3 linked regions of the Oryctolagus cuniculus genome follow. The protein of the gene in region 3 purifies or fractionates together with the protein of the main gene of each other region. This does not show direct contact. Links are inferred from orthologs where the notes say so. Each region holds a gene or a part of one and is shown on either strand. Other genes may lie near its edges.

Region 1 (3,500 bases), on a different chromosome or scaffold from region 3:
CTCGGTCACCTGAGGAGTCGTGGCCCGAGTGCTCGTGGGTCTTCTCCCAGGTGCCGCCCTCCTCCTTCCAGATGATGACTTTCCGGTCGTAGGAGCAAGATGCCAGGATGTTGCCATACATGGGGTGGGCCCAGGCCACCTGCCACACAGGACCCTCGTGCCTGCAAGGGGAGGGGACAGAGGCTGCTGCCATGTGGTCAACGACCCAGGTGCCCCGGCCGGGCGTCTCCTTGGGCGGAGATGAGTGACTTCCTGGGCAGGGAGAGCCGACGGCTGCCTGAGCACTTCCACGCGAGAGCCGTGGAGCGTCACTGCCCTCGGGATGCCCTGTGGACGGCAGGACCCCGAGGCCACGCGGCCCTGCGCGGAGTGAGGACTCTGGAAGTGTCCGTGGCCGGCCAGGCAGGGATCTCACCTGCACCAGATCTGCAGCCAGGGCAGCTCCGCTGACTGCGGCACGGGCGTCAATCCCCCAGCAGGTGCGCCTGGGGCTCAGGGGCACCGCAAGGCGGAGCCACCATTCGCCCGCCTTCCCCGTCACCTTGCCGAGGCGGCACTGTCCACCTGGGTGTTCGCGACGGGCACCGCAAGGCGGAGCCACCATTCGCCCGCCTTCCCCGTCACCTTGCCGAGGCGGCACTGTCTACCTGGGTGTTCGCGACGGCCTTCACCTGCTGTCACGCCCCCTGCTGGCTCTGACTCAGGCCAGGGTCACAGGCGCTCTGTGGCTTTACCTCTACCTGGAACGCAGGCGTCCGGAAGGCTCCCTCACAGCTAGGCTGGGGGTTCAGTGTCCGTGCTCGCTCAGGGACAGAGCCGAGAGGACGAGCAGAAGGAAAACCACTGACCACGAGCCAGCAGCGCTCCCCTCCGGGGACGACGGCTCACTCCCGTCCCACGCAGCGCTGACCGAGGCAGTCAAGGACGGGGGTGTGAAGTTTGTCACCGTCTAGCGCCTAACATTCTCAGAGCATAAGAAACTCATGTGGGAGCCGGCACTGTGGCGCAGCGGGTTAAGCTGCTGCCTGCAACGCTGGCGTCCCACGTGGGCACTGGTTCAAGGCCAGGCTGCTCCGCTTCTGACCCAGCTCCCTGGTATGGTACCTGGGAGGGCAGTGGAGGACGGCCCAAGTGCTTGGGCCCCTGCACTCTCACAGGGAGACCAGGAGAAGCTCCTGGCTGCTGGCTTCTGCCTGGCCCATCTCCAGCCCTTGCGGGCCAGCTGGGGAGTGAACCAGCGGATGGAAGGTCTCTCTCTCTGTCTCTCTGCCTGTGCAATTTTGACTTTCAAATAAATAACCTTAAAAAAAAAACAAACTCCCGAAACCTGCAGTGCTGTGCAAGGCAGCACCCTGGGGGGGGGGGGGGGGGGCAACCACAAACATGGGCCAGGGCTTCCGAGAGGAGTGACGTGGTGCGTGTGAACGGCCCTGGACCCCTGCGCAGGCCGACAGGCAGAGCCATGGCCATCCCAACGTTGCCGCCTGCACGGCCCCTGCAGTGCCGCTCCCGAGTGACACGTCGGTCGCCCTGGCTACGCCTGCACACAGCAGTACAGCTTCCACCTGTCAAGGCGGGGCAGTGGCCCCTGAAGGCGGGGCCCACCTGAGGGGGCACACCAGGGCTGAGAGGTCACACCTCGCCAGCCCCGGGTTTTCCTGAGAAGAGCCCCGCAGAGCCGCTGCCTGGCCCACCTGTTGTGTGCTGGGGGCAGCCGGGCGTCCTCACTGCTGAGCACACTTCGGGGTGCCTGGAACCCGGGCTTTCACTTCCTCCCCTGCCTGTGCCCTGGCGGCGCCCGCCCCCTGGGCACTCACCCTCTGAGGTCAGCGACGAGGATCTGCCCTCCGTTGCGCACATCGAAGATCTTGACGGACCTGTCGGAGGAGCAGGTGGCCAGGCGGGTGCCGTAGTAGTCCATCTGTGCGTCGTGCTGCAAAGGGAGACGGGGAATTCTGGGGGCCTGCGGGGGCGGGGCAGTGCGCACACAGGGGCGGGGCTAGCGTGGATCACGGTCTACCCACTTGGGACCGGCACCTCAGGCGGGAAGCCGGCAAGGCGGCCTCCTCACTGCTCTGCGAGGCCGCAGCCAGCTGGGCTCACAGACCCTTTGGGCTCCTTCCTCCATCTGGGCCCTGGGTCCCGCACGGGTCTTTGTCCCTGGGTTCCCTCACGCTTGTCCTTTTCCCAAGGAGCGGGCCAGTTACTCAGACACTGGCACCACCCTCGGATGCCCACAAACCACCCAGATCCAGGCCTGGCCCTGCCCACGGTTCTGAGTTCATCTGCGGCACCGCGAGTGGCACCTGCTGCAGAGGCCACTGGGAAGGCTCAAGGAGCCGCTGGATGACGAGCGCTTAGCACGGGCCTGGCGCACAGCGAGCAAGTTCCTCACTGCCGCTCTGCTCACCTGCTCCTCAGACCACACCGTGCAAGCGGGGCACAGCGGCGGTCTCCCCCCGAAGAAATGGAGGCCTGCTAGCTAAGCCGCTGCCTAGGGAGCCTCAGACCCCCGCCCCTGGTACCATGTGGCCGACAGCTGAACCACTCCTGAGGGAGTTCAGGCGACCTGAGCAACCCAAAGCGGCGGCAGGTGACAGGCCGTGAGGGCAGCAACGCAGGCAGGAGACGCTGTCCGTGGCCCAGGGACCCAGGACCAGGTCTCGCTCCCAGGCTGCCGCACGGCGGGGCCAGAGTATTCCTCCTGCTGTGGACTTTAGCCCCGGGCCTTCTCCTGCGCCCTGCCTCGGGCCACGCCCTGCATGAGGACTCCTGTCTGCTCTGCTGTCCCACAGCAGTCCTCTCGGGCTCCGCCTTTGCCAGTGGGGCCAGGCTGCAGTGGCAGGAGGAAGACAGAGGGGAGACCAGCGGCAGCCGGAGGACCGAGGGCCTGAAGCTACCATCGGTCCCCAGAAAAGGGGAGCCCGCACGACCAGGGCCCTGCCAGCTCACAGGGCACTGCCGGGAGGCGGACCAGCCACCGCCGCTGAACCACCCATCGGGGAGGGCGACGAAGAACTCAAGCGCTTCCTCTCACAGAAACGGGCCCGCGGCCGCCGGCGAGTACTCACAATCATGTCCTCGTGCGAGGTGTCCACGGTGTTGATGACGGACACCTACGACCAAAGACAGGCAGTCCATTACCCAGCCGTCACCGCGCCCCTCGCCGCGTCTGCGCCCCTCGCCCAGGACAATCGCTCCAACGACCTTCTTTGAGCCAACACGAGCGGCCTTGCCCTTGAGAAACGTGCACAAAAGTCACCCTGACACGGCAGTCAGCTCTTCCCGCGGGGGCTTCCGGGTGCGCAGGAGCCGGCGGGGCTCAGCCGCTGAGGAGGGACTGGCCGGGTGGCACGGGGAGAGAGCAGGCTGGGGAGGGGTCTCAGAGCACGGATGGGGCCAGACGGGGCTCGGGGCTGGGGGCCGCCCAGCCACCGCTGCCCTCCTGGGTGACAGAGCACGGGGCGCCCCGCAGTTGCTGATGAACAAAGCGCTGACCC
Region 2 (3,500 bases), on a different chromosome or scaffold from region 3:
TGCCTCTTGATGCCTGAGAGACACTAGTCTAGACTCAGTAGGTGGCAGAGTTAAGACTGGAACATAGAGGTCGGCACTGTGGCACAGCGGGTTAAAGGCCTACAGCGCCAGCTTCCCATATGGGCACCGGTTTGAGTCCCAGCTGCTCTGCTGTCTGATTCAACTTTCTGCTAATGCACCTGTGAAAGCAGCAGAGGATGGCCCAAGTCCTTGGGCCCCTGCACCCACCTGAGAGACCCAGAAGAAGCTCCTGGCTCTTGCTCCAGATCAGCTCAGCTCCAGCTGTTGAGGCCATTTGGGGAGTGAACCAGTTTATGGAAGACATCTCTCTATCTGTCTGTCTCTCTCTCTCTGTAACTCTTTCAAATAAATAAATCTTTAAAAAAAAAAAAAAAGAAGACGACTGCATTTTAACACCTGACACTATCTTAGTTTTTTGTTTGTTTGTTTTTAATAATATGTTTCCTTTCCACAGTGTCAGAAGTTTGGACAGTATAACAAAGAAGATCCCTCTTCTTTCAGGTTATCAGATTCCTTCTCTCTATATCCTCAGGTAAGTAATACACATTTTTAAGAATTCCTGCAGAGTAACCATTGCAGTAAAGTGAAGAGTGTGTTCCATTTCCAACCTCTATGAGGAGCTGTAGGAGTTTTATTAACTGAAGACCAGGTTGTGTGTGTGAGGCACGACCCCAGGCCCTACAGAAGACAGCAAGAACAGTCAGGAGAAAACAAGTGCATCTAGTGTCCTGAGAAGGCGAAGCAGGGTCTTTGGCAGTAGGCCACAACCAGATCTCTAATTTGCAGAAGTTAGTTCCCTCAGCAGCAAACCAGCAAAGTGAGGGCAAGATGATTTAACAGAACGAAAACACAGTTAGTATGACAGGTTATTAACATAACATGACAAGCGTTTCGCAGTGAGTCTGTGGTTATCCAGCTGCGTCCTATTTAGGCATCGGTAGTTAGCAGCTCTGAAAGTAACTACAAAAGGCTGAAACGAAGCACATGGCTGCCCCTGGGCAAGGGAAGAGAGGAGAGAAGTGGATGGAGCAGGAAGCTGCTCTCATGGACCTAGGTTTCCACGTTTCCCAGACTTCCGCCTTTGTCTGTGAGTGAGCTAGAGCTGAGCTCTGTGGCTGGCTTTGAGGGCTCCATCAAGTACTGAAACCTGGTGCGGTGCCAGCCACCTGTTCAGTGCTTCGTGTGAGCCAGATGACAGCAGGAGCCTGGGACTTGCCGGGGTCTGTGCCCGGCAGGTGGAGGCCAGGTGGAGTTTGTGAAGATCAGAGCAGAGTTTCAGCTCTCGCCCCACCACTGCTATCACAGGTGAGGTCCCAACCCCTGTGGATTTCAGTTTAGAAGGGAGGAGTTGGTCTGGAGAAGTGATTTGCAGTCCTTTCTCCAAGGGGCCCTCCTCAAAAGCTAGCACGTAAAGTAGAGGGACTGGATGCCACTCTGTGCCCATGCACCCCACCCACCCAGTGGCTCCCCCAAGCAGTGCCCTTAGCATTCGCTTCACTGAGATTCTTGAAGAGCAGTTGGAAAACCAGCAGATGAGGTTTTCCTAAGGAGTCTCTGTCAAGGCATTCTAGGATAGACGTCAGGAGCCCAGTCTCTAGAGCCAGTGGCCTGGAGGAGAGTCCCTCGCTGCCACTGCATAGTGCAGTGACCTGGGGCAAATTGGTCACACCTGTCTGCCTCAGTTTCCTCAGCTGTAAATAAGGAGAACTCGTGGGTTTATTGGAAGGATTCAATGATTCTTGGCAAGCACGTCGTGCCTTGCACGTAGAATCTACTGAATGTCAGGCACATTAGTCTTTAGTAGCCTGTGGTTTAATTCTGAGCCTCAAGAAGCTTTGTACTTCTCAAGGCAGCTCACTGTCACATGCTGGCAGCTCTACACACTGAGCGAAAAGTCTGCCCCCCAGCCCCCTGTAATTCTTGGGGTGAGGACCATGACCTCCCCAGCATTGTCTCTCCCCTGTGCCTGTCACTGCAGCCCCAAGGACTAGCTTGCGCCCTGAGCTCTCATCTGCCCTTCCTAGGCCTGCAGTCCCCTCTCTCTGACCTCCAGCCATCCCATTCATGTCTTTCAGGATCTATCTTCAACTCCACAGCTCTGGGTAGTGGGCTGGCCCGTCACCACCCCCACCTGCTGTAGTACTTTCAGTGCTGTGGCTGGTGATGTGAGGATGCCCCAGGGGGCTTTTTCCCCATGGGACCTGACTTCTCAGAGAGCAGATATTCTGTCTGCACAGACCAGATGCTCTGGAAATTAAGTGTTTCTTGACCTTTTCCCTTTCACGTGGAAGCTCTGCCATATCCCGAGGACCTTTAAACATTGTTTAAATCATAGTCAAAAACATGTAACTTTAAAATGCACCCAGAAACGTTAACCATTTGGGTAGTGTTAAGTTTATTCACGTTGTTACCCAGCAGATCCCAGGGGGTCACATCTTGGGAAACCGAAATTCTCTTTTTCTTTTTCTTTTTTTTTAAAGGTTTATTTATTTATTTGAAAGTCAGAGTTACACAGAGAAGGAGAGGCAGAGAGAGACAGATTTTCAGTCTGCTGGTTCACTCCCCCAGTTGGCCACAATAGCCGGAGCTGTGCTGATCTGAAGCCAGGAGCTTCTTCTGGGTCTCCCACATGGCCCAAGGATTTAAGCCATCTTCTGCTGCTTTCCCAGGCCACAGCAGAGAGTGGGATCAGAAGTGGAGCAGCCGGGACATGAACCGGCACCCATGTGGGATGCCGGCACTGCAGGTGACAGTTTTATGCTGTGCCACAGCGCTGGCCCCAAGAAAACCAAAATTCTCAACCCATTCAACAGAACTCTTCATTGCCCTCTCCCCCGACCCCAGGCACCGCTTTCTGCTTCCTGTTTATGTGAACGTAGAGACCTTTCTCCTGAAGTTGGGGCTCTGCTGTGTCGGTGCTGAGGTGGGCCGCCTCTGCCGAACCGCGGCAGGGTTGCAGCTTTGTGCCTTTGCCTCTCGCTTTGTGTTTGCAGTTCATGTTCCACCTCAGAAGATCGCCGTTCCTCCAGGTGTTTAACAACAGCCCCGATGAGTCGTCGTATTACAGGCACCACTTTGCGCGGCAGGATCTGACGCAGTCTCTCATCATGATCCAGCCCATCCTCTACTCCTACTCATTCCAGGGGCCCCCCGAGGTAGGTGCTATATGGGGGCTCTTTGGAGAACTGCAGTCACCTCATATGTCTGTTTTTTTTTAATTCTCCCCTAGCAAATTTACTTTTAGAACAGAATTTAAAAAAAAATATTGAAAACTTTAAGTTTCTGTAGCAACTTAACCTTATTTTTGAGTATTAAAAATATCCACAGGAAAAAGACTGGACGTATAAAGCTGTTTACAAACTATTAAAATAGAGAGTTAGATAATAATCTGAGTGTTTCATAGTAGAAAAAATAAGTAACCTATGAAATATTCACAAAAATTATGTAACAACATGTTACTGAGAAAAATCGAAACAGCA
Region 3 (3,500 bases):
GGCCACTGGCGGGGGCCTGGTGGTCCTGGCTCCACCCTCGATTCCACCCTGGGAGGGAACAGCTGACCGCTCAACTACCTGGGTTTCTGCCACCCACACGGGAGACCGGGCTGGGGCTCCTGGCTCCCGGCCCGGCCCTGGCCCAGCCCCGGCCATTGTGGGCGTGCAGGGAGTGAGCCAGCAGCCAGACCTCGGTCTCTTTGCCTCTCAAACAGCTACAGAAGATGAGGGCCGAGCTGTGGTGCAGCGGGTTAAGCCACCGCCTGGGGCTCGGGGTGCGTCCCGGCTGCTCCACTTCGGCTCCAGCTTCCTGCTTATGTGCCTGGGAAGGCGGCAGCAGATGGTACCTGTCACCCACGTGGGAGATCAGGCCCGGAGCTGCTGGCCCCTGGCCCGGGCCTGGCCCAGCCCTGGCTGTTGTGACCATTTGGGGAGGAACCAGCACATGCAACAGCTGTGTCTCCTCTATCGCTTTGCCTTCCACATAAATAAATCTATTAAAGTAGAAAGCACAACAGTGAAACACCTTAGCAAAAACACAGTAAAGAGGAGAGAGTCACCCACGGGCACGCGGGGCGGGCTCAGCGCCCACAGCCAAGTGCCTGCCCCCTCAGCTGCTCGCGCTCCCACGCAGCTCCCTGCAAACGCCGGCCAGGCCACGCCGGCCAGTGTCCCGGGCTCCGTGCTCCCACACTCAGCCCCGAGTTCCCGATGGAGCGCCTGGCAGCGGCCGGCCTGTGTGCAGGCACCGGGGGACGAACTCGTGGTGGAAAGCTCACTCGTCCTCCTTCAGGTGAATAAATCTACATTAAAACCAAATCTGGGCTGGCGCCGCGGCTCACTAGGCTAATCCTCCGCCTGCGGCACTGGCACCCCGGGTTCTAGTCCCGGTTGGGGCGCCGGATTCTGTCCCGGTTGCCCCTCTTCCAGGCCAGCTCTCTGCTGTGGCCAGGGAGTGCAGTGGAGGATGGCCCAAGTCCTTGGGCCCTGCACCCCATGGGAGACCAGGAGAAGCACCTGGCTCCTGGCTTCGGATCAGCGCGATGCGCCGGCCACAGCGTGCCAGCCGCGGCGGCCATTGGAGGGTGAACCAACGGCAAGGGAAGACCTTTCTCTCTGTCTCTCTCTCTCACTGTCCACTCTGCCTGTCAAAAAAAAAAAAAAAAAAGAAAGAAAGAAAAAGAAAAAAGAAAAAAAACCAATCTGAACCCAAAACACATGCTTAAAACCTTGATTTCTGGGAGGAAAAAACCACAACCAAAAGGAAGAAGAACCGGAGAGCCCCACACTGCACATCAGAGAGGACGACTCGAGGAGGCACGGGACGGGGACAGGGGACAGGGCACGGGACAGGCATGGGACAGGGCACGGGGCATGGGGGACAGGGGCATGGGGGACAGGGGCACGGGTCATAGGGCACGGGGCACAGGGGACAGGGGCACGGGGGACGGGGCATGGCACAGGGGCACGGGGGACAGGGGCACGGGGGACAGGGCACGGGGCATGGGGGACAGGGCACGGGGCACAGGGCACGGGGCACGGGGGACAGGGGCACGGGGGACGGGGCACAGGGGACAGGGGCACAGGGCACGGGGGACAGGGGCACAGGTCACAGGGGCACGGGGGACAGGGTACAGGGCACAGGGGACAGGGGCATGGGGGACAGGGGCACAGGTCACAGGGGCACGGGGGACAGGGTACAGGGCACAGGGGACAGGGGCATGGGGGACAGGGGCACGGGGCACAGGGCACAGGGGACGGGGCACAGGGCACGGGGCACAGGGGCACGGGGGACAGGGCACGGGGACAGGGTACGGGGACAGGGGCACGGGGGACAGGGCACAGGGCACAGGGGCACGGGGCACAGGGGACAGGGCACGGGGCACAGGGGACAGGGCACGGGGGACAGGGGCACAGGGACAGGGGCACAGGGACAGGGGCACAGGGGACAGGGGCACAGGGGACAGGGGCACAGGGGACAGGGCACAGGGCCGGCCATGCCGCGGGCCGCCCTGCTCGGGCCTCACCTCCATGCTGTGGATCTCCACGAGTGCCGGCTGCCCCTCCGAGGGCAGGTTTGGCATCACTCTGATGAGCTGACCGCCGGGACCGAACCTGGCGCAGAGGTGAGGCACCGGGAACTTTTCGGGAGAGCCCGGTCGCGATGGAGCTGCATCGGGACCGACAGAGACAGGCGCCGCTTGTTCCCGCCCAGAGCGACAGCAGCCACCTGGGGTGCCAGGGCACGGCGGACAAGCCGGCCTTCAAGGCCGAGTCTCCAGGTGTCACACACCCTGCTGACCAGCAGCACTGCAGCCCACGTCAGAGAAAGACGGAAGCTGTCAACCCACGAGGAACCCAGAGGCGGGGCCGAGCGACCACGCATAGTGGGTAAAGCCTCTGCTTCCAGTGCTGGCATCCCACACGGGCACCAGTTCAAGTCCCGGCTGCTCCACATATTTTTTTTTTATTTTTATTTTTTTAAAGATTTATTCATTTGAAAGAGTTACAGAGAGAGACAGAGACAGAGAGAGAGGTCTTCCATCCGCTGGTTCATTCTTCAGATGGCCACAATGGCCGGAGCTGCACCGATCCGAAGCCAGGAGCCAAAAGTTTCTTCCAGGTCTCCCATGCAGATGCAGGGGCCCAAGGACTTGGGCCATCTTCCATTGCTTTCCCAGGCCACAGCAGAGAGCTGGATTGGAAGTGGGGCAGCCGGGACTCGAACCAGCACCGCGTGGGAGACCTGAAGAAGCTCCTGGCTCCTGGCTTTGGATGGGCGCAGCTCCGGCCATTGCAGCCAGTTGGGGAGTGAACCAGTGGATGGAAGACCGACCTACCTCTCTCTCTCTCTCTCTCTCTCTCTCTCCCTCTGTATCTGCCTCTCCTTCTTTCTCTGTGTAACTCTTTCAAATAAACATTTTCAAAAATAAAGAATAAGTCTCTACACAAACACACCAGAAAGGACCCTGCGCAGTTTTGCAGTACAGCAGCCTGGCCCCGCCCCGCCCCTCTCGCCCCGCCCCCGCCGTCTCCGCCTTGGCTCCAGGGCCCACCCGGCCCAGGCACAACACCTCCCGCAAAACAAAAAAACAGAGCGCGGCTCTGCAGGGTGGAGACGCCCCCTGCACCCACGGCAGGGCAGCACCCAAGAGCCTGCAGGCGCGGCCGGGCCGGGGGCTCCGAGACCTGGAGCCCAGCGGCCATCGCCCGGCCATCGCCCGGCCGCCCTGCCCCCCGAGCGCTGCCCGCACGGCCAGCACGACGCCGGCCAGACGCCGACCCGGCCCTCGTCCCCACCAAGCACACACCTTGCTCCATGGCGGGCCAGCTGTACTCCGGGAAGCTGCTGCCGCCGCCGCCGTAGGGGCCATACCCGTAATCCCCGTGGAAGGAGCCGGGCGGGGGCGGGGCCTCGTAGGCGTCGCCGAGGACAGCGTGACTTCTGTATAGCTGACTCTTGGGAACACAGCAGTCACGTCGTGACGTGAGCTCCGCAC

The links. Proteins that work in one complex are often made in the same cells at the same time.
Region 1: the proteins of SEC16A (region 3) and SEC13 purify together in Homo sapiens (co-immunoprecipitation; 4 studies listed by BioGRID and IntAct, counting the BioPlex papers as one, with this or other methods). This does not show direct contact. The link is inferred for Oryctolagus cuniculus from reciprocal best matches to the Homo sapiens genes SEC16A and SEC13.
Region 2: the proteins of SEC16A (region 3) and SEC23B purify together in Homo sapiens (affinity purification with mass spectrometry; 3 studies listed by BioGRID and IntAct, with this or other methods). This does not show direct contact. The link is inferred for Oryctolagus cuniculus from reciprocal best matches to the Homo sapiens genes SEC16A and SEC23B.

The regions. Positions count from the first base shown.
Region 1 is NC_091441.1:116,549,339-116,552,838, reverse strand, and holds part of SEC13 (protein SEC13 homolog), read right to left. Parts: intron 3,117-3,500; coding exon 3,072-3,116; intron 1,934-3,071; coding exon 1,818-1,933; intron 1,555-1,817; exon of another isoform or gene 648-1,554; intron 565-647; exon of another isoform or gene 194-564; coding exon of another isoform or gene 162-193; coding exon 10-161; intron 1-9. UniProt on the Homo sapiens protein: Functions as a component of the nuclear pore complex (NPC) and the COPII coat. At the endoplasmic reticulum, SEC13 is involved in the biogenesis of COPII-coated vesicles.
Region 2 is NC_091442.1:43,327,358-43,330,857, forward strand, and holds part of SEC23B (protein transport protein Sec23B), read left to right. Parts: intron 1-475; coding exon 476-553; intron 554-3,014; coding exon 3,015-3,176; intron 3,177-3,500. UniProt on the Homo sapiens protein: Component of the coat protein complex II (COPII) which promotes the formation of transport vesicles from the endoplasmic reticulum (ER).
Region 3 is NC_091432.1:236,612,214-236,615,713, reverse strand, and holds part of SEC16A (protein transport protein Sec16A), read right to left. Parts: intron 3,460-3,500; coding exon 3,312-3,459; intron 2,171-3,311; coding exon 2,028-2,170; intron 1-2,027. UniProt on the Homo sapiens protein: Acts as a molecular scaffold that plays a key role in the organization of the endoplasmic reticulum exit sites (ERES), also known as transitional endoplasmic reticulum (tER).